Cricetulus griseus: one gene and its partners. The protein of the gene in region 2 interacts with the protein of the main gene of each other region in a pairwise test. Links are inferred from orthologs where the notes say so. Each region holds a gene or a part of one and is shown on either strand. Other genes may lie near its edges.

Region 1 (4,956 bases), on a different chromosome or scaffold from region 2:
ATGTTGTATGCTCATGGCTGAGATTGGCTGCGAGGGGCAGGAGAGGGGACAGGTGATGGGAAAGAAAGCTTTCAACCTCAACAGTTTACTTTCTGTAGGGCTGGACAAGCCCCACATTCACGTTGTTCCTGTGGTTCTTGGGCCAATTGAAATTTGCCTGTAACTGTTCCCTTGGCAACCAGCAACCAAAAGCTGTTGTTCAAACACGTTTCTCTAAATGGGCCTGTTTCCTTTAGCTAAAAATGTGTCTTTGAAAGAAAAACATTTAAGTAGAAAACTTAACCGTGTCCTAAATAAAATATAAATGTTAGAATCTTGTTCTTTGGGAATTTAGGGATTTTGATGTTTGATGTTGCTTTTTTTTTCCCCCCCTGTGGTGCTGGCGGTTGGAGCCAACTAAGTACTCTACCACAGAACTATAGCGTCAGCCTTTTTAAAAGGATACTCCAAGGTAAATACTTTATAAGGAAAAGATGGGGCCTGACTTATGGTTTTGTTCAGTTTTTGTTTGTTTGAGTGTTAATTTGCTTTTCCCTTTGCCAGAGCTGTAAAGGCCGCAATAGGAACCACAAGAATAAATTACATGCTCTCCAGTTCTGGGCTGTCCCCTAAGTAGCAGCCACTGTCCTTTCCTCTAATGGGTTCAGAATGGCTCATTGCAATGTGCCTGCTCCAAGGGCTCCCAACAGGTTCCAGGGAGAAAAGTGGGGAGGAGGTGGCTTTGTTCTGGAAACTAGAAGGCAGCTCCATAAAGAGCTTTCCTAGGAGCTCGATAAATATTTAAGTAGTGTGTGTGTGAAGAGTGTGCTGGAATGTTCTCTCCACACACACTGCTCAGGGCAATTACTCCTCACAAGCTCCACAGTATTGTTCTGGGGTGATCTGCATTCTATTTTCACACACTTGACTACTGTTCACTGCTCAGTGGCTTCTTCAGTCTTCTATGGGGAGATGCACGGCCCATATTCCAAGCCACCAGAGGCCAGCTAGCAAGTTTGCAGAGCCTGGAGCAGAACAAGATGCTGGTTTACTCCCTCATAGGCTAAACCTGGCCTATTCCTACACGCTCCACAAACAGTGGTGTTCTTTGGCATATATCATTTGATTTAGTCTTTTCAAGTCACTGGGATTGAGGGCATCACCTCTCACTGGGGCCCAAAGTCAGGTAACAGGCTCAAGGTTACTCAGTCAGTGAATGGCAATGCCCACATTTAGAACCCTGGGCTTGGCAGGAGTCAAAGTGTTCGCCCAAGTCACCCCACACCTCCTGACTTTCATTTAGAGACCTGTGTCCTCCTTTCTTGAGGTCAAATATTAGCAATCACGGTGACCTAGAAGGGCTCCAAGGCATGGAGCTTCATGGCACTCATTCATTTCCACTTCTGAACTTTGACTCCAAGCTTCACTCTTCGACCTTCAGCTTCCAGAAGAGTGTGTGAACCCTCCACAGCCACCTCTCCAAGCAGGAGTAAGCAACCCGGGGTGTGAACCTGGACACACTGGTGGCTGTGCATCTTAAGAGCTCCTACCTCCTGTTTCTGTTTTTGAATGCTGGTGTGCTGATTGGTTAAAGGGCTCTTTGCTCCATCGCCATCTGCAGTTCCAGGTGGCATGGGCATGTCTCACCTGACAGAAATACACTGGATATCGTTCTACCAAACACCAGACCCATCCACTAAGAATGTAACTTTTAAAATGAAATAGAATAAAATGGTCCTTTAGAGCTAGATAAAATATTGGCAAAGGTATGTTTTTCTTGTTTTAGTTTGTTTTTGTCTTGTTTTATTTTGAGACTGGGCCTTATTCTGTAGCCCAGGCTGATATTGAACTTGAGTTAATCCTCCAGTCTCAGCCTCCTAAATGCTGCGATTACAGAAATGAGCTACCACACTTGATTTTGTTTGGAGTTGGGTAAGGAGAGAAATAGGATGTCTTGCTGTGTAGCCCAGGCTAGCTTCAAACTTACTATCTTCCTACTTTGGCCTCCGGAGTGTTGGGCTATAGGAATGTACCTACACTGAGCCATTTGGCCTGAGAGAAGACACTATCCTAACTTGTAAGACATCATGGATACATATTTACATATGAGCCTCTGTCACACACACTCACACACACACACACACACACACACACACACACACACACACACACACTCTCTCTCTCTCACACACACACTATCTGATTGAGAGTCTCTACTCCTCCCCACCTCATCGCACATATCCTTAAAGGAACCTCAGAGAAGAATCCATATTTTACCAAATGTGACACAGACTCGTAGTGATTTTGACCAACTTGATAGGCATGGAGGCATGTTTCAAAATGGTTGGCTTGATGTGAGACCTGCCACATCTGGCCTGACACTACAAGCCACCTGCCTTGCTGTTCGATGCACAAACACAACTCCTGCTACCCCATTTCCATGGTCCATTCTCACTTCCCAGATGTGTTACCTTTCACCAGCTACACTGTTCACGTATTCTCTGTAGACCTCCCCCTCTCGGGGATAGTGAGAAAGACTCCATAGAATAACCCAGAGGGGTCACAGATAAACCTTCCCAGGACACCAGCTGTCCACCGTGAAGTTTCTCTCACCCCCCAGTACACAACAGAAATGCAACAAAGAACCCCGTAAGGTGACTTACAGTGGATTTTGAAGTCCTTGTACTGTCTGTCTTCAATTGCTACCACGTATAAAGCTGCCCGGTCTGGAAACATAAGCCCTCCAGGTTTCTGTTGATGAATTGTGGGGAAATGGGTCTCGTAATCTATTCACCTGACAAAGACATCACATTTTGAACTGCACATAGAGTCACCAGACAAGCACCCCCTTGCCAGCATCTCTCACTTAGTGGACGGACCAGCTTGGCTGGACATGCCAGTTACACATCCTAAGCTGGGGGAATCTTAGGAGCCCGGGTGGAGCTGACAGGACAAGCGGGGTGCAAAAGGCAAATCAAGGAGGGGCGGAGAGCCAGCCTGTGGTTCGGGCCAAGCCTTGGCAAACAGTACCCCCGGCTCTCTGGCGGTCTTAACAAGAGAAAATGGGTTGCTGCTCTAGCCAGAGGGGACAGAGTTAGACCGGCTATGGTTATACAGTCTGACAGCTAAGCGTGTTGGACCAGGGTTGACCACTCGTTCCCCTGAAGCAGCTGTGCTCTGAAGAGAGGGCCACAAGACAGTGGTCTTCTAGACCCTTCCTCTCTGGAAGTCTCATGCTCCTCCCAGGTGGGAGGCGATGGGAAGTGTGGCGAGACAGCCACCCAAATAATGTGGGGGCAGCATGCGGACCACTCACCAACCACTTGTCCCTGGCGAAGATCACGGTGTTGAGCATGGACTCGTAGAACAGACAGTAGCCCATCCACTCACTGATAATGATGTCTACCTTGTCCACAGGCAGCTCCACCTCCTCCACTTTGCCCTTAAATATGGTAATGACTAGAAAACAAGAACCCAGAGCCATGCTGTGCCAGGACCCTTTGGCACCGTGGGATCCTTGCTGCCGGACTGCTGAGTTTTGAGCCCCACTCGATTCCAGCTTTTAGGGTGTGACTTACCTTATCCTCCAACAGAGGAGCCTATTGGTTACTGAACACGCTAAGGTCTTTGAAAGCAGCTGCTTGAGTGTGTCCCTCATCAAAGGTCCTGGACACTTACTGCGCATTCGACTCGGTCCCAAGCCGGCAGAGTACACTGTGTCATGCCATCTGCCTTCAGAACTAAGTGTATTGTTATCGTCGCCTTCTTGTACAGCGAAGGAAACTGAGGTCTCAGGGTGAGGTGATGGCCATGGAAACAGAGTCCAGGTCAGATAGAATGGGACTGTAACTGCCCTACTGTGCACTCCCTGCTCCGTGTGAGGTTACCATGACAACTCAGACCTGAATTGCGCAAAGGACACTGCGTGTGTTGCTCTTGCATCTGTGCACAGCCAATGCCCTGTATTCAGTGGGTGCCCATCGAATGTCTGTGAAGGAGGCAAATTGGTGTTTTGACAAGACCATGGACTCAGCAGACAGAGAAACCCAGGGTTAAATGCTGGGTCTTCTAATTAACTGTCTGATTTTACACACATCACATTGGCCACACAATTCCCATCCAGTTCCCCAAAGAATACCAGAGAGCATGAGGTCTTTGTCAGGCTGGCTGTGTTGAGGAAATGAAACAATACCTAGGAAGTGCCAGTCCTGTAGACAAGGCTCAATAGAAGGTAGACATAGCAGACATGTTCCTTATTTAACACTATATGGAGAAGAGAAAAGGATAGAGCCCCCCCTCTCTGTGAGAAGTGACTTCCCATCCCATGGAAGCAGGAGAATGGTCTTAGTTGAATTTTTGATTAGCTGATCCAGAAGGACACATGATTTTTGTATTCTTTGATGCACAGATGGAGCGGAAAAAAGTGACCTTAGGGTCTGCTGTGACACTGGAAGGGTATTGTACCAGTTGCCTGGTCCCTTCTTAACATCTCTACTGAAAGGTCACACACTTTGGTGCTCTGAAACCCTCCTTCTGTGACAGTCCCTGGAAAAATCACGCTAATAAAACTGAACAGACCTCAGAGTCACAAACCAAATAAACCATGTCTGTCTTGAATCCAAGGCAATTAATTTGGACTGGAGGCTCATCTACAGCAAAGGGCACACAGGCCAGGGCCTTTGTTTAGTGCCTTCATAGTTAAGGGCACCATCAACAGCTCCTGATGGTGGCTCCCTCTCCACCCCCTGCTTAATCAAGGCTTAATCAGATTTTATAAGTGTCAGACACTACTCACATCCACCTACCCTCATCATGTACCACAGAGGCCTATGTGCTCTGCCTGGTCATCATTTGTGACCCCTATCCCCAAGAAGGAAGAGCAAAGGAAGGCCGGACTTCTCCAAAAATTTTGAAACAAGTGAGAGAGACAAGCGTTAAGCCATGCCATGGCAAACAGTACCCCTGGCTCTCTGGCGG
Region 2 (5,438 bases):
ATTAAATAAAACCTTCAGTTTCAAGCTTTGTCCACCTTATTTAATCCATAGGCTTTTAAAATGACCTCTATTAGCATTTTGGTTGTTGGTCATTGATACCATTATCCACACCTTTTGAGATATGAACTAAAATCTCCTTGAATTAATTAAATCCTCTAGCAGGAATATGTTTGATAGGGATTTAGGCAGTGGATATCCAGGGCTTTATTAAACAGGTAAGGTTAGATAGTACTTCAGAAATATTTTCTGTGTTGTCCACCTGTCAAAGCACCATTTTATGTGCCTAGCACTTTGAAGAGTATCTAACTTTCTTTGGGCTACTGGCTTGCTATTATAGCATAACGCTCATTTAGGGGGAATCAGTAGCTTTCTAAAAATAACCTTTTTTTTTTTTGTCAAAAGGATAATGCTATTTTCATTACCGTTGCTCTGGATAAAACTAGTATCCATAGCCGGGCGTTGGTTGTGTACGCCTTTAATCCCAGCACTCGGGAGGCAGAGGCAGGCGGATCTCTGAGTTCGAGGCCAGCCTGGTCTCCAGAGCCAGGGCCAGGATAGGCTCCAAAGATACAGAGAAACCCTGTCTCGAAAAAGCAAAAATAAATAAATAAAATAAAAAATTAGCATCCATATCGTCTGGGATACAAGCGCCTTTGTCTTCTCTTTCTTGTACCTAGTAAACGGTTACAAAGGAAATGTCACTTCACATAACATGTAGTTACCAAGATGTTTGAAAAGAGACACGGACATTTTCCTCACAGTTGTCCTAAATCACGAAGCTTTGTGCTGCTTCAAGTTGTTCAAAGTGTGCCAGGAGGAGCACTCAACTGCTTCGAAGGCCAGGGACAGGAACGGAATATTGCACAACCCAACACCACCGGGCCGGTTAAGCTTCCAAATCTGGCCTCCGTGTCATCCCCGGGCGGGAGGCACTGGGATTTCCTCGCGAACCCGCCGCGCGGTGCCCCTCCCTCCGCCCAGGGGACTCGTGGGAGCGGGAGGACGGCGCGCGCCGGGCCGCGGGATGCCCCATTGTCCAGCGGCGGAAGCCGGGGCTCCCCGGGGTGACTCCCGAACTCGAGCCCCGCCACCCGGCCGCCCGGAGCTCCGCCATCCCCGTGCGGCTCCCCCCCGCAGCCCCATTGTCTGCCTCGCCTCGCCCCGCCCCGGGGGACACGTGCGCCTGCAGCTTCCCGAGCGCCCAGGGGCGGTGCGGCGGCGGCCCCGGCCGAGGTCCCGGCCGAGCGGGCGATTAGTGCCGGAGCCCCTCGGAGCCCTCGGAGCCCGGGGGCCGGCGGCGGGGCGGTGGGGCGGTGGGGGCGGGGAGGGCGGGGTGGGGAGATGCTTGTCTCCTGACAAAGAACGAGTGGGACACGCCGAGCAGGCCGCCCCGCCCGCGGAGCGCGAGGGAGTGTCCGCACGGAGGGCGGGTCTCTCATTCACTTGGCCCCTCATCGCCGCCGCGGCGGAAGGGCGGGGTCTCGACTCCCCTCTCCCCCTCCCCGCCAGGAGCTAGGGGCGGGGCGGGAGGCGGAGCCCACGGGCGCGCGTCCTGAGGCGTCGGCTGCGTCGTCACGTCAGCGCGGGAGAGAGAAAGAGCGACTCGGCAGGGACTGGGGACGGGCCGAGAGAGCTAGCGAGGGAGGGCGTGAGCCAGAGTGCCAGCGAGGAGGAGAGAAGGGCGGCCACTCGTGTCTGAGCGGCCGCGGACGGGAGTGGGGACGCTGGGGGAGGAGGTGCAGGGAGGGAAAGGAGGAAGGCCGAGGGGACAGGGCGGCCGGCGGCCGGCGGCGGCGGCGGCGCGGCGGCGGCAGGGGAGAAGGAGGAGCTGTAGGAGGGCAGGGGCTGAGGGAGTGAGTGAGAGAAGCGGACGCGCCAGGGAGGGGAGGGAAGGGGGGTCACGCGGGGGCGCGCGCGCGCACTGGGAGCGCGCTCGGAGGCGAGTGGAACTGGATCGGGTTTGCTGCCAGCGGCGTGAGCTTCGGCCGCCATTTTACAACAGCTCCACTCGCGCCGGACACAGGGAGCAGCGAGCACGCGTTCCCCGCCACCCGACCCGGTCGGACAGGATTCCTCGGCCGCAGCCCCGCGGGGAGGTAACGACCGCCGGCACCCGGGTCTGGGAGGGGGGCTCCATGACATTGTGGAGGGAGCTTGGGGGAGGGCGGCGCGGGGAGAAACCGGCTTTTCTGGAAAATGGATTCCAAGGGGGAGAGGAGCACGTTGGCCGGGGCTGCCAGGGAGTAGGCCGCGGCCGCGCCGCCACTTCCTCCTCTCCATGTGCTGCCGCGGCCGGGCTTTGTCTGCGGCGCTCCGGGAGGAGGCGCCTCGGCAGCCCCGTGGCCCGCGCGGACCGCGAGCGGCGGGCGGACTTGGTGCTGTCGTGGCCGGCGGCGCGGGAGTGGGCGGAGAGGCGCGGGGTGCTGTCCCGCGGCCGGCCGGCCGGCCGGCGGGCTTGGGCGGTGCTGGGCTCCCGCGGGCGTGCGCCTGGCGGCGGAACGCCCTCCCGGCGCGGGCTGTCGGCCTCGGCGCCCGCAGCCGCTGCACCGAGGGGTGCGGGAGGCCGGGGGTCGCGGGCGGCTGGGGAGCACCCGGGGCGGAGAGCCATGTGTCAAGGCGGAGACGGCGGCGCTGGGGGGCGGGGAGAGCCCGTGGCCTGGCGCCGCCGCGGCCTCGGTGTTGAGAGGCGAGATTGTGCGGCTGCACGGTTCGGGGGGCTCGGACCGCGACTGCGGGTTGATGTTGAGAGGCGGTGACGACCGCCTTGGCCCGGTACTCGGTGGGTTTCCGTTGAAGGAAGTTGTAGGACATTTGAAGGCGCAGAGCACGTGTTTCTAATGGGCTCCTGGCGGCCGCAGTGGTGAGGCTGCCGCTCCGGGTGCGGAGTCGGGGGCGGGCTTTGGGGTGTGGGGGTGAAGGGTGGAGGAATTGGGTGGTGGGAAGGTGGCTTGTGTGAGCGCTTTGTTCTTCGCTGGCTGTTGTTACTGATCTATAAGCGGCAGGCGGGAAAAGCGCACTTTCTGGTTTACCTTGGAGAGAGACAAGCCCAGCGTTGCTTTTCTTCACACACACCTTATTCTCCGTTTTGGAACTGCTGCATGTGGCAGGCTCGGCCGGTCCCTGTGCTGATTGGGCTTCATTTGTAATACGGTTTTTCCTAGCGAGTGTTAGCAGGTGAAGTCAGGGGTGGTGATCAGGAAAGAATGTAGTGCATCGGTCCGTCTGTACCCCGGGCTCCAAATCTGGCTTGTCAGGCGATGGTGACTTTAAGGTTTCTTTCGAGGGAGGCGCAGGCTGGCTGGTTGTAGTTACTGGTAGAAAGTAAAGATTGGGACTGTCATTGTCCTCTATTCTTTTTGAAGACCCTAGTTTAATTTTGCTTATTGCGTTTGAACAGATCTCTGGAAACATGGCTACAGAACATGTTAATGGAAATGGTACTGAAGAGCCCATGGATACTACTTCTGCAGTTATCCATTCAGAAAATTTTCAGACATTGCTTGATGCTGGTTTACCACAGAAAGTTGCTGAAAAACTAGATGAAATTTACGTTGCAGGTAAGAAACAACACTTGCAAAATTACATTATGAAATTTTTCTATTGGATTTCTGGCTTTGAGCTAAAATAGCAACTTTTTGTGGTTTCCAATAAATGTGGGAACTGGAGCTTTGCCTTGTTCTGATAGTTGGTTAATTTAGGTTTGATCTAGAGGTTAAAGTGTAGAGGGAGGGATGAAGTGGGGAAAAGACCTCCCTTAGGGGAACGCTGTCTGGCCTGACAGATAAGTATATGATAGTAGCAACAGCTGCTAAATGTTGAGAGCAGCCCATGTGACTTTTTGGGGTATTTTTAAAGCAGGGTTCTTGTTTAATAACTTGGTTACTGTAGGCTAGTTCTCTTGTTTTTCTTGGTGTGGTGGTTCCTTTTTTTCTAGTGGCATTTGACATTGAGTAGACTTGCAGTTGCTATGCTTGGTGTTTTGTTGGTTGACAGGATTTGTAGGCTTATATATTGTAGAAATATTGCAGTGTTCAGGATTACTTGGACACAAATGGGATGTAAAATATGTTGACTTCTTTCTGTGTGGTTGAGAGGACTTAGCTCAGAATGGCTAAAATATATTCTTCATTATGTAGATAAGGGGAGTAGAATCGCCACGTGTGTGTACCTGTATTGGCCAATACAGGACTTTCTGAAGAAATAATTTGGAAATTTTAAAAGGTGATAACTAACTACATTTTCTCTTTCCAGGGCTAGTTGCACATAGTGATTTAGATGAAAGAGCTATCGAAGCTTTAAAAGAGTTCAATGAAGACGGCGCATTGGCAGTTCTTCAACAATTTAAGGATAGTGATCTCTCTCATGTGCAGGTAATGTTAATTTCAGTGTAGAAAAAAGTACTTTTGATCTTATTTAAATTTAATTAGACACAGACATAATAGTAATGTTAATATGAATGGAAAATTTCATTACAGAACAAAAGTGCCTTTTTATGTGGAGTCATGAAGACTTACAGGCAGAGAGAGAAACAAGGGACCAAAGTAGCGGACTCCAGTAAAGGACCAGATGAGTCAAAGATTAAGGTATGTTTTTGAGAACTTTCTGTAGCTTTAAGTGTGTGTGTTTTGTTTTTGGAGACAGTGTTTCTCTGCAGCATTGGAGGGTCTTTAGACCAGACTAGCCTCTAACTTAAAGATCTGCATGCCTCCACCTCCCAAGTTGCTGGCATTTAAAGGTGTGTGTGCCACCACTGCCCGGCCTTTTTTTTTTAGTTATTTTCTAGCTTTGGTAAATATTCCTGCAGTGTGGCATGAATATATTTCTAAGGTTATTGTCTTTTAATGGCTAGATTTTGAAAATTAACTTACAATTCATTTTATCTTGACTGGCTACCAATGATCCAACCTGTGTTGTCGCTTCCAAATTAAAAAAAAAAAAAAAGATGGATCAATGGTTAAGTCTAAAGTTATCCTTAACAGGTTACTGACAAACTAATTGGGGGCAAATGGTTGTTTTCTTGGGAGGCTTAGGTCATGGTGAATTTGGAATTTTAATATTGCCTCTCAAATTGTTACATTTCTAAAAACAACTTTTGACAATAATGCTGTTCAGTGTGGTAAGCAAGGACATTCATTGGGTTGGGAGTGAAAGTTTTTTTTTGTTGTTTTGCTGGTTGGTTGATTTTTAGAGTCATGAAGGAGATTAAATTGCCTCATTTAGCTAAGTTTTTATATATTTGTGCTGGGACTTGCTTTGTAGACCAGGCTGGCCTCAGATCCCCCTGCCTCTGCCTTCTGAGTGCTGGGAGTAAAAGTGTGTACCACCACTGCCCAGCTATGTTAGTTTTTTAACTAACATAGTTTTTGGTGTTTTTTGGTACTGTTAACTCTTGAGGTACAGGTTATGATTTAAGAATAAGAAAACTAGTTGCTAAGAGG
Region 3 (5,609 bases), on a different chromosome or scaffold from region 2:
GGCCCGAGGAGCCGGGCGGTGGTGGCGCACGCCTTTAATCCCAGAACTTGGGAGGCAGAGGCAGGCAGATCTCTGTGAGTTCGAGACCTGTCTGGTCTACAAAAGCTAGTTCCAGGACAGCCTCCAAAGCCACAGAGAAACCCTGTCTGGGGGAGGGGAAGGCCCGAGGAATAGATGAGGATTCCTTAGAATGCCATTTCAGTTGACTGAACCCTGTGTCTCCTCCATCAAAAGGGTTGGGGAAAAACAAGTGCAGCATGAACTGTGGACCAATTCCCACCGCCAATCACCAGAGGGCGCCAGACACCCGCAAGGCCTGACCTCATCTTGATGTCTGCAGCATGCAGGCCAGCCTGCAGAGCACTGGGCTAACCAACCTCCAAGGCAGTGGACCCAGGAAGAAGGGTAGCAGGGCCCATGTGGATTCATTCACCCCCGCCCAACCTTTCAGCCCTTTAGGATGTACTGGCTTTAGGGTAAGTCTTCACTCACCTCATGGATGCCAAAGTGGGCATAGGAGTCAAAGTAGTAGTCTTTGGATGTCATGTCCTCAGCATTGGGCTTCTCACTGCTTTCTGCTTGAGCACAGGAAACCTGAAAGAGGGGGAGTAGCAAAAGGGTCACAGGTGGGCTCTTCAGAGGTTCCTCAACCTGCAAGAAGGCCCCTCTTCAGAATGGGACAGCCCTACAGCCCCCTCCGGCATCTTTCTTCCCAAGGGACGGTATCCACTTCAGAACCCACCCAGAGCACCATCCAGGGAGCAGCCGCCTCGCCTACCATCTCTCCAGGCTCTATGCCCGTCTCTAGCTCAGCCCACAGCTGGGGAGGGAGGGAAGGGAGGGCAGAGCCAGGGCAGACACATTGAAAGCCAGAGGAGGAGGGCTGGAGATGGAGTTAAGGAAGCAGCCATGGTTCTGGGGGAGCCAGCTTGGGCCAGGAAGGGGTCTGTCCTATGTGTTTAGGGGCCACAGCAGGGGAAACTGGTTTGAAGCAAGAGGATGAATAGACCTCCTGAGGAGCCAGGTGCATATCAAAGTATGCTTATATGCAAGTGGGCTGGGGGGGTCTCACAAAAGGATATTTACTTCTTCAAGAGGCGGCTGGAGGCTCATCCCATTAGCCAAGGTGGCTACAAAATTCTAGGAGAGAGTAACAGGGAAAAAGGGTTAGCTACTGGGGTGGCTGGGGAAGGCCTTTGGGGCAGTGAGTGTTTTGCAGGTTGGCTTTTCCTGGGCATGGGAGTGGTGTAAGCAGGAGCAAGCAGTGTGGCTGCAGTTGTGTAAGGAAGGGATACAAGTGGGGAGGGAAAGGAAGGTGGGGTCTCCTGTCCCAGCTGTTGGCTGAAGAGATGGTGGCCCGCCCCATGTTGTCCCTCTCTGGTCAGATAACTGGCCACACATACCTACCCTATCTAGGCCAGAGGGCCCAATACCTGCCAAGGCACATGGGCACTTTCAGCTGTTGCTCCCCTTCACTACCTAATCCCCCCTAGATTAGGTGACATTTCCTGACAGACACACCAGGCTGAAGTGCCATGAATAAACCGGAGGGGGCTGACAGGTAATGGGTGCTGGGCACCTGTCTGCCCCATCACAATCCTGTCTCCTGGCCAAAGATCATTCCAATAGAGAAATGTGGCATACCCCCACACCACAGTGAGTACACCACCCCAGCTCCACCCGGGCAAGGAACACACAGAGCAAGGCTCTTTGTTTTACCTGCCCCCGGAAGAGGGCTGCCCCCCAGGAGTACAAAATATGCCTTGGAAAGCTGGGGCAAGCTGTTACGATAAATATTTCTGCCAAAATCCGCCTGAGCCCCACCGCCACGTGTGAGCTTACGAAAGCCCCCCCTTTCACACCCCACCTTGGTCCCCACACTGAAAACTGCCCTCTTTTTCCTTTGTCCACAAGTGCCAGGCCCAGGGTCACTTCAGTGACACTGTAGGCGAACTGATCCCCATGGCAGGTGTCCCAGCAACTGACCTTCCTCTCCAGAGAACTTGAAGAGGTATGGGTACCACCAGATTATATCCCATCATTATCCCATTAGATAGATGACTGCTATCTAAGGCCAGAGAGGCCACGATCTACCACCTCAGGGGTCGGGTAGCCAGTGGGGGGAGTTCCCATGTGGGCCTCTCTTTTTCAGTAGTACAGATACCAGCAGGTTAACAACTGACTGAAGAGGGTTTGTTCTGTTTCTGGCTTTTTTTTTTTTTTTTTTTTTTGAGACAGGGTTTCTCTGTGTAGCTTTGAAGCCTGTCCTGGAACTTGTTCTAATGGGCCTTGAACACACAAAGATCCGCCTGTCTCTGCCTCCCGAGTCCTGGGATTAAAGGCATGCACCACCACACGGCTTCCTGAAGAGGGTTTGAAACCTGAGACTAGGAGAGGATCTGATTTACAGGCCTAGTAGTGAAGTCTTTCACGAGAGCTACCCGGAAGGCTTAAGCAAAGATGGCAAGTTCAAGGCCAGCCTGGGCTACAGGGTGAGTTCAAGGCCAGACCCACTTTGCATCAAAGTTAGTAAAAAGTGGACTGAGGAATACAGCTCAGGGGTGGAAACACTCAACTGTAAGCAAATAAGCCAGGTGCTAGAATTTGATTCTGTTTTGGGGGGGAAATTAGGCAAAGGTGAGAATCCTAAAAAAGGGGTCGGGTGGGGGTCAAGGCCCCTTGGTCTGCGTGCCTACATAGCCATCCAGCCCCAAGACCGACCTCTGACCATCCACCCGAGGGCGCTTCCATGAGGGGGTGGGCTTTGGGCCACGCCCCATGAAAAAGAGCCCCTTTCACAAGCCCATAATGACCACGAGGGGGTGCCCGGCGCCGGATCCGGATCTCCTCGGTGGAGATGCCCCACCATCCTCTAACAGAGAGGTCACAGGGCTCTGCCCATCCCCCCCCAACCGCACAGGGGTAACTCAGAGTGGAGGAAAGTGAGGTCAGGCCCCACGAGGGTGCACGGATGTCCACCACCCAGCGGACAGCAGGACGCAGGTGGCACCCCCCAGGACCCCCGGAGTGCAGCCCAGGTCACCGGGCCGGGGGCGGGGCCTTTGTCCCGCACGTGGAACCCGCGGGGCCCCTCGAGTGGCACACCCCCCTCCCCACGCTACGCTGCGCGACCACGTGCGGCCCGGCTGGACGCGCCCCCGGCCCGCGACCACGTGCGACGGCCCTCGACTCGACTGCGGGGTCCGAGAGTCCCATAAGCTGGGGTCGCCCCGGTCACGATTGAACACATCCCCCGATGCGGACCTCCGCGAGGCCCAGCACACCCAAGGCCCCGTCTCCACAGTTCAGGCCGTGGGTAACCCGTCGTCCTCCCCCTACCCACTGGCCTAAAGAGCCCAGCTACTCACCTCCATGATGCAGTTCGCGGCCTCGGCTGCCGCCATCTTCACCCGAGTCCTCCGGCCTCCGAGACCCCCCCCTTTCTTCTCTCTCCCCCCGGCCGGGGACCGCCTTTTACCAGAGGGTCCACCGCCCGGCCCCCGAGACCCCGCCATAAGTTTCCAATGGCTGGCGCAGCCGTCAATCTAACCGCCTCGCACTGCAATTGGGCGCTGAGCACGTCTATCAAAATTCGGGCGCCCTCCCCTCCTAGCGTTCAAAGGACCACCCCCTCCTGTCGGCTAGGAAGGGAACAACTGTCTGTCTATCTTAGGCAGCGCATGTGATGATTGGAGGATATCCCACCAGGTCTTCCCGCCTCCTTCCGGCCAGCTCCGCCTTGAAGCTTCCCGGCGGGCTCCGCGCTAAGCGGATGTCGAGAGACTCTGCTGTGGATCATTAAGATGGCCCGCCTCTCCGTCGCCGCAATTAGCTGAGCAAAACGTGACGTTGCAGGGCTCTTGTTCCAGTCCCTTCGAGAGACTGGCCAAGAACGACAGGGACCATTGGCCCACAAGGAGGTAGGCGGGGCTTTGGGCGGAAGCGATTGGCTCCCAGGAACATCAGTCATCAACGTTCGGTGGCTTCTCCGGAACTGGGGCGCGTGGGCGAGCTAGGGGAAAATGCCGAGTCGCTGTGAGTAGATGTGGAGGCGTTCTCATCAGGGGTCCTGAAACTTGTCAGGAGTCGTAGTGAATGTCAGTGCGATGAGCCATAACCTTGTACTGGACTGTGCCGAGTTCTGAAGACCTGTGGCCTCCTAGTCCTTTGCATGAAACACCCATCTCCCTTTGTTTGGCCAACTCCCACGCGGCAATTTGGACTCCATCTCCTCCAGGAAGTTTCCCTGGATCTGCAGAAAGTTACTCCTGGCCTGAAGATGGATGCCAATTGCTGGGTTTGTGCCCCTGCCTCTTACCTTTTGTCCCACCAGTACTCGGCCCAAGCACAGGGTCCTTTAAGTTCCCAAATGTGCCTCTCCACTCCAGGCCTCCTCGTGCTCAGATGACCTTCTTCCTTCCGACTCCTAACACTGTTTAGTGTGCGTGTGCGTGCGTGTGTCAAGTCTTGAGCGGCAAGCACTGCACCATCTGCTGCACACGTAAGGTATCTGGTGTGAGGCAGAGTCTCATGGTACAGCCTGCCTTTGTCTCCAAAGTGCTGGGATTTAAGGCTTGTGTAAACTTCTTCCAGCCAGTATGATTTTTCTTTTTGTTTTTTCGAGACAGAATTTCTCTGGCTGTCCTGGAACTCGGAGATCCTCCTGTCTCTGCCTCCCAAGCGCTGAGATTAAAAGTGTGCGCTACCATTGCCTGGTTCAGTATGATTTCTTGATTGACTCCTGCCTATCCTGCTACTTCATCCCAAATATCAATAGCCTCTGGGCTTTTCCCTCCAATTCCCTCCGTCAGTTTTGTCAATCCCCAAGGCCTTCAGCCCTAGTGCTCCCACCTGCCAATCCCTGCAGCTCATCTCTGCCTATGGCCTTTTTGGGCCTCCCTGCACCCCCAGGACAATGTCTCAATCCTTAAACTACCTCCATTCCCGCTTTACAGTTCCACCCTAGTTACCTGCGGCTCTTGCCACCTTTATGCTTCCATGCCATTTCTCATGGTACAAGGGATCGAACTTGGTTTTCTTTCAGGACAAGAGATTTTATCTACAGCTAGTGACTATAGGGCATTCTGACTTCTACCCAGCCACTCTGACAAGATATTTTAATGACCTAACACAAGGAATCTGCAACACAAGGAATCTGCAAAATTAGATGGCTGCTAATATAGATTTTTTGTTTTATTTATTTTTTTTGTTTTTTTTTTAAAGATTTTATTTATTATGTATACAACATTCTGCTTCCATGTATATCTGCACACCAGAAGAGGGCACCAGATCTCATAACGGATGGTTGAGAGCCACCATGTGGTTGCTGGGAATTGAATCTCTGGAAGAGCAGTCGGTGCTCTTAACCTCTGAGCCATCTCTCCAGCCCTTTTTTGGTTGTTTTTTTTTTTTTTTTTTTCCCCGAGACAGGGTTTCTCTGTGACTTTGGAGGCTGTTCTGGAACTCACTCTAGGCTGGTCTCCAACTCAAGAGATCCGCCTGCCTCTGCCTCCCAAGTGCTGGGATTAAAGGCGTGTGCCACCAACACCCGGCTTTGTTTTTAGAGACAGGGTTTCTCTCTCTGAAACAGTCCTGGCTGTCCTGGAACT
Region 4 (5,366 bases), on a different chromosome or scaffold from region 2:
GAGTGGTGATAAATGCCTGTAATCCCAGCACCCGGGAAGTCAAGGCTGGAGGACCACTGGAGTCCAGGAGTTTTGAGACCAGCCTGAAAAAGAGATCCTCGGTCTCAGAAAGGGGGAAAATATGTGTGGCTTCTTGTAACCTCTTTCCTGCCTTTCCACAGGCTGAGATGCAGATGTGATGGCAGCTACTAAAGCAGCTATTTGGGGCTTCAGAGTAGAAATGTATGGAGTGTGGCAGACAGTAAGCTAAAAGTAGCAGGAGCCCCAGTACAATAGAGTTGCCATCTGTAATTTAGGAATATTTACTCTTGGAGCTATTCTGTGTGAGAGAACTTTCTACCTGGTTTTGTCTCAGTGTCATTACAGCAGCCCTAACTCAGACCTCAGTAACTGAACACTTGGTTCCGACCATCTTCTCATTTGCTTCACTCTCCTGGAACTCTGGTCCTGAGAACCACCAAGAACCTTTACCCCAGTGGACCGGAACCCTGTCCTGGAAGCCAGCCTGTTATTACATGCTTGGATTTGAACCCTCACCCACTTAAAAAAAAAAATCCTCCCCATGTTTTTTTGTTTATTGGTTTAGTTTATTTTGTTTTGGAGACAGGATCTCTCTGTGTAACTCTGGCCATCCTGGAAATCACTCTGTAGACCAGGCTGGCTTCAAACTGAGAGATTCACCTGCCTCTGCTTCCCAAGTGTCAGGATTAAAGGCGTGTGCCTCTACCTCCCAGCCAATACTCCCCATGTTTTAAATCTTTGGTTGTTTCTTTTTTCATTTTGCAAATGGTATTAATAGTAACATTCTCTTTTAAAAAAGCAGTTTTATCTAAATATGACCTCATCCTGTACGAGAATGTGTAGGGGCTGGCCACAGTTTGTCTCCGGGGTAGCAATGCAAAGAAACAAAATAGTTTCCCACAAAGAGACCACAGAAAGAGGCACCCAAAAGTATCTGCATACATTACAGAAAGGTACCAGTACCAGGACCTGCTCAGTCTCCAGTCCTACACAACAAGGAAACTGCCATTCCAATACATACCCAAGAGAGACACTCCATGAACACATCCAGACACAAAACAGATGACACCACAAAACACAAGAAAGCTGTCGCTGTTATACTGTTTATTGTTGCTGCTCATAGTCCAATCCAAGACTAAACTTACAGCCCTTGTTTCCTCTTAGTTGACTTAAAAATCTCTAATTTTGGAGGTCACACAACAAGGCAATACATTACTGACAATACAAAGAAAAACAGTGAGTGGCAGTGGGGGTACCCAGCACTTCACCTAATGGGTGTAGGTGCGCTCCAATTTATGTCTGGTTTCTCTCACATTTCTTTTTGGGGGTACTAGTTCCCCCATTCTTGCCCTGATTGTTGCTCCGATCGTGCCCTTTTGCTGGATCTAGAAGGGCTTTTTTGGTGTCCCTTCTCTAGAACCTCACTTAGGTAGGAAAGAGTCAAACAGGTCTCTGTCTTTGCCTGTATCTCCTAATCTCTCCAAGGTCCTAATCCATTGCTGGGTGTGGTTGTCCTGTTTCCATTGCTGGGTGTGATGTCTGTGGTCTGGCCTCATCTGTGGAGAGAGAAAGCAGGTGGTGGAAGGGGCAGAGACCTGGGTTTGAATTCTGGCTTCCCTACTTATTTTTTCTGTAGCCTAAGTGAAGTACTTGACTCTGTTAAGATTCAGTTTCCCTTTCTGTAAGCCAAATTTCCTCCCAATTGGAAAGGCTCTATGGGAAACTTCCCCCATTCTGGTCATCAGAGTGGAACTCGGAGTTAAATACGGGTCTCATTCTTGCTGTAGATGACACCCTATTTTTTTTTTCTATTTACTGGAATGTGAGTGTGCATGCATGAGTATCTACACATGAGTATTCTCATATGCTTGGGTCTCTGTGAGCATGTGGAGGTAGGTCAGAGGATGTTGAGGGCATGGTCCTTGTACTCCCAGAGAAGCACTAAGAGAACCAGGAATGTTAATCACACAGGGTGTCTCCTCAATGGAGGAGATGAAATCAAATACCTGCATTCCATCCAGAAAGCTGAGAGTGGGTTTGTTAACAACCTGGTGACCAGGAGGCAGGCCTCACCCTAATTCCCCAAAGTGATTATCCCAGACTCTTCCCTCCCTAGACCATTACCCATCCTTGGGGGGAGATGTCACAAGTACTTTACAGCCTGCTGACCTCTATGCTGTTGGTCAGAGATCACACTAGATTCTAGGTCTTCTAGCTATAGAACCCATCCTCATGGTTACATGTACTTTGTAAAGGAGTCTCTACTGAGTCACGCTTTAAGTTTTATTGTGCAACTGGAATTGAACTGATTGGATTGATTGTTGCGTGGAAACCTTTTCCCAAATTGTACAGAGCTTAAAATAGGCTGACAGTGAACCGCCTGGTATTAGCCTCTCTGAAGCCTGATCCAGGTTGACAAAGTTGATCTGCACTAGGTTTTCGTTCCCATCTCTTCTCAGGCTCGATTCCCTGCCTGGATACCTGCAGGGTCCTCCTAAGGGGAGAACTTGCAATTGATTCTCTCCCCTTTCATCATGTGGGTCCCAGATGTCTAGCACAGGTTGTCACTGCTGGCAGCAAGTGCCTTTACCTACTGAGCCATCTCACCAGCCCAGGGCTTGCTTTTGATTCCCCACTTCCTACTCAATTACACTCTTAGGCCTGTCACCCTAAGCAAAGCCACTTTTACTGGCTCTCTGGCTCGTGACTCCTCACCTCCAGCTCTGCCTCAGCGCCAGGCCTTTTTCCTTTCAGAGTTCTGGAACTTGGTCAGCAGCTTCCTCTCATGCCCACCAGGGCTAGGGCGGTTGGTATTGGCGGCAGCTTCTCTCTTGGTACGACCTTTCCGGCCTCCCCCGACTGGTGGAGCAACAGGTAGAAGGGACACGGGCAGAGGAGAGGTGTGAGGTTCAGAGGACAGACAAATGCCTGGGGCATAGGGATGAGAAGGGCAGAACAGCCAGAGGGCAGCTGGTGGTCGCCCTGTGAGGTTGGGGCACTCTATCCCTGCTGTTTACTAATGTATAGAATGAGAGATGCTTAGAAGCGAGCCCTCAGAGCTGAGGAGGACAGAACTCAGTATACGAGGCTAGATTGGGTTTACTTTGGGGTAGGGAGCAGATTAGTTAGAGAAGGCAATCTGGGAGAGAAAATCCAAATCCAAGGAGGAGGATGAGAAGTCAAAGAGCTGCCCAGCAGGCCTACCGATATAAGGATGGGCCAGGCTGTACTGGTCATACTCATCCAGGATGTCATCTTCATCCTCTGGGTTTAGGGGTTGCTGGGAGGAGCTGGTTGTTGGTGGCAAGGTAGCCATCACCCTGCTCTGCCTTCTCCAAAGTCTTGCCTGTGTCTTGTTTTCCAGCTGTCTGCCCTCACCCAGTTCCCTCACCCCTGCTTATAAAGCTGTCTCCTCCTCAGACCACAGGCTGGCTCCCGCCCTTCAAGTCCTGTCTGATGCAATCTGGCCTTTCCCCAGAACTGGGCCCACAGACGCCAGCCCTGAGCAGAGAGGCACACCCTGCCCTTCCTCCTCCCTCACAGGGCTCACCCAGGCCCAGCTGTGTTTTTCCACATGGAAGACTCCTGCCTCTCGGGGAGGAGGGAGCAGACAGGATGTGGGCACAATCTTTGGCATGTTGGCCAGGGAGAGCAGAGGGCCTCAGATGGGCCACTCCTTATCATTTCAACCTCTGCCACAAGCCCTGCCTGGCTCTAGGTCATGGCTACACATTGCTCCCACCACCACTCTAGTCTGGTTCAGACTCAGGACTTGGTGGCAGCATACACCCTGAAAAAGGAGAGAGGAGGGGACAGTGACACGCTTCATGCCAGGTCAGCAGTTCCTATCCAGTCACACCCAAGGCTTCTATTTTTATGGAAAGTCCCCTTACTGTACTTCAATAGAGTCCCTAGGTACTTCCCCTCATCCAAGGAGATGCAGGCTAGCTAGCTGGTAGAGACAACAAACACCCTGGATTCAACACTCTGACCCCTAATCAACCTTCCTCTGCTCTTCCTTCTGACAGAGTCCCGTTATATAGCCCAGCCTGGCTCTTGAACTTGTAATTCTCTTGCCTCAGCATCCCAAATGCTTGAATTAGAAACTCAACAAGTCAGCTGAGATCCACTGTTTCCTGTGTGACCCTGGACATGTCACTCTCCCTCTCTGATTGTTCCAGTTTCCCCCTTTAACAGAGGATAACCCTACTGAAGGGACCAGACCCTCACCCAGTGCCCTGCTTTAGCAGCCATGACAGGCTGCAGAAAAGACCCAGCAAGATGTAGGCTTCTGACTCAGCACATGTACATGTTTGACCTTGCCAGACTGTGCTAGTCACTAGGAGGTCAGATACCCTCCACGTGGCAAGGAACCAATCAGAAGTTAGCTGGTAGGCTCTGGACATGCTTTACAGTAAAAGTGGCATAACAGTGGCATACAAAGTATAGCAACCGCCCTGGGAGGGCCATAACAACCCGTTGACCAATCAACACAGAATAGGTCATCCAAGCCTGGAAGTGCACCAATCCTGAGACTGTTGCATACCCTTAGACACTCCCGTCGCTCTCCCCAATAAATTCCCTGCCTCGAGGCCCCTTCAGGTCCTTCTCAGACCAACTACTGTGTTGGATAGATGAGGGAACCCAGTTAAGACAGTTAACTAGTTAAACAATAAAAGACTCTTTGCTTTTGCATTGGAATGGGTCTCGGTGATTTTGGGGTTCAGAATTTGGGCACACCTATCAATCTTGGTTGGTGAGAGTCTCCAGTGACATAATGCCTGGAAAGGCCCTTGCATTAGCTGCAAACAGCGTAAGGGTTTGTCCCAATTTCCCATGGTTTCCCATGCAGTGCCCTCACTGTGACAAAAAGAAGAGTGGAAAAAGAAGAATTTAGAATAAAATAAAATATTGTGGGCTCACAATATGGCTCAGTGGGTAAGGTACTTATCAACAAGCCTGGCAATCTGAGTTCAGGGGTGTCCAGGACACAGTGTCCCACATATTGTCCTCTAACCTTCAAATGCCCATACACACACATACAAATATATAAATGTGGCTTTTAAATGTTAAGTAAAATAATATATTGATGTGGAAGGCATGATGAAACAAACAGGTCTTTGTACGCCCCCACCCCCGCCCCATTTTAGGCATTCTTAATTTGTAGCTGTGGATAGCTTAGAACTCTCTCTGTAGACCAGGCTGGTGCTGAGCTTGGTGATCAACCTGCCTCTGCCTCCCGAGTGTTGGAATCAAAGGTGCACATCACCACATCCAGCCAGTATGAATTTAAGTATGAGTTAAGTATCAAGTGTTTTCCGTCCACACTGGCCTCCCCTGTGATG

Evidence for each region.
Region 1: the proteins of Syncrip (region 2) and Prmt8 interact in binary tests that used the Homo sapiens proteins (3 or more experiments, as listed by UniProt). The link is inferred for Cricetulus griseus from reciprocal best matches to the Homo sapiens genes SYNCRIP and PRMT8.
Region 3: the proteins of Syncrip (region 2) and Prmt1 interact in binary tests that used the Homo sapiens proteins (3 or more experiments, as listed by UniProt). The link is inferred for Cricetulus griseus from reciprocal best matches to the Homo sapiens genes SYNCRIP and PRMT1.
Region 4: the proteins of Syncrip (region 2) and Nupr1 interact in a two-hybrid assay, tested with the Homo sapiens proteins (2 studies listed by BioGRID and IntAct). The link is inferred for Cricetulus griseus from reciprocal best matches to the Homo sapiens genes SYNCRIP and NUPR1.

The regions. Positions count from the first base shown.
Region 1 is NC_048601.1:18,724,232-18,729,187, reverse strand, and holds part of Prmt8 (protein arginine N-methyltransferase 8), read right to left. Parts: intron 3,439-4,956; coding exon 3,296-3,438; intron 2,731-3,295; coding exon 2,643-2,730; intron 1-2,642. UniProt on the Homo sapiens protein: S-adenosyl-L-methionine-dependent and membrane-associated arginine methyltransferase that can both catalyze the formation of omega-N monomethylarginine (MMA) and asymmetrical dimethylarginine (aDMA) in proteins such as NIFK, myelin basic protein, histone H4, H2A and H2A/H2B dimer.
Region 2 is NC_048597.1:198,398,889-198,404,326, reverse strand, and holds the start of Syncrip (heterogeneous nuclear ribonucleoprotein Q), read left to right. Parts: upstream 1-1,901; 5' UTR 1,902-2,096; intron 2,097-3,397; 5' UTR 3,398-3,409; coding exon 3,410-3,557; intron 3,558-4,251; coding exon 4,252-4,370; intron 4,371-4,475; coding exon 4,476-4,583; intron 4,584-5,438. UniProt on the Homo sapiens protein: Heterogenous nuclear ribonucleoprotein (hnRNP) implicated in mRNA processing mechanisms. Component of the CRD-mediated complex that promotes MYC mRNA stability.
Region 3 is NC_048599.1:153,869,763-153,875,371, forward strand, and holds the start of Prmt1 (protein arginine N-methyltransferase 1), read right to left. Parts: upstream 3,476-5,609; 5' UTR 3,405-3,475; coding exon 3,369-3,404; intron 1,141-3,368; coding exon 1,087-1,140; intron 882-1,086; exon of another isoform or gene 782-881; coding exon of another isoform or gene 779-781; intron 595-778; coding exon 493-594; intron 1-492. UniProt on the Homo sapiens protein: Arginine methyltransferase that methylates (mono and asymmetric dimethylation) the guanidino nitrogens of arginyl residues present in proteins such as ESR1, histone H2, H3 and H4, FMR1, ILF3, HNRNPA1, HNRNPD, NFATC2IP, SUPT5H, TAF15, EWS, HABP4, SERBP1, RBM15, FOXO1, CHTOP, MAP3K5/ASK1, MICU1 and NPRL2.
Region 4 is NC_048596.1:74,154,751-74,160,116, reverse strand, and holds Nupr1 (nuclear protein 1), read right to left. Parts: upstream 3,426-5,366; 5' UTR 3,338-3,425; coding exon 3,226-3,337; intron 2,881-3,225; coding exon 2,750-2,880; 3' UTR 2,737-2,749; intron 1,578-2,736; 3' UTR 1,350-1,577; downstream 1-1,349. UniProt on the Homo sapiens protein: Transcription regulator that converts stress signals into a program of gene expression that empowers cells with resistance to the stress induced by a change in their microenvironment.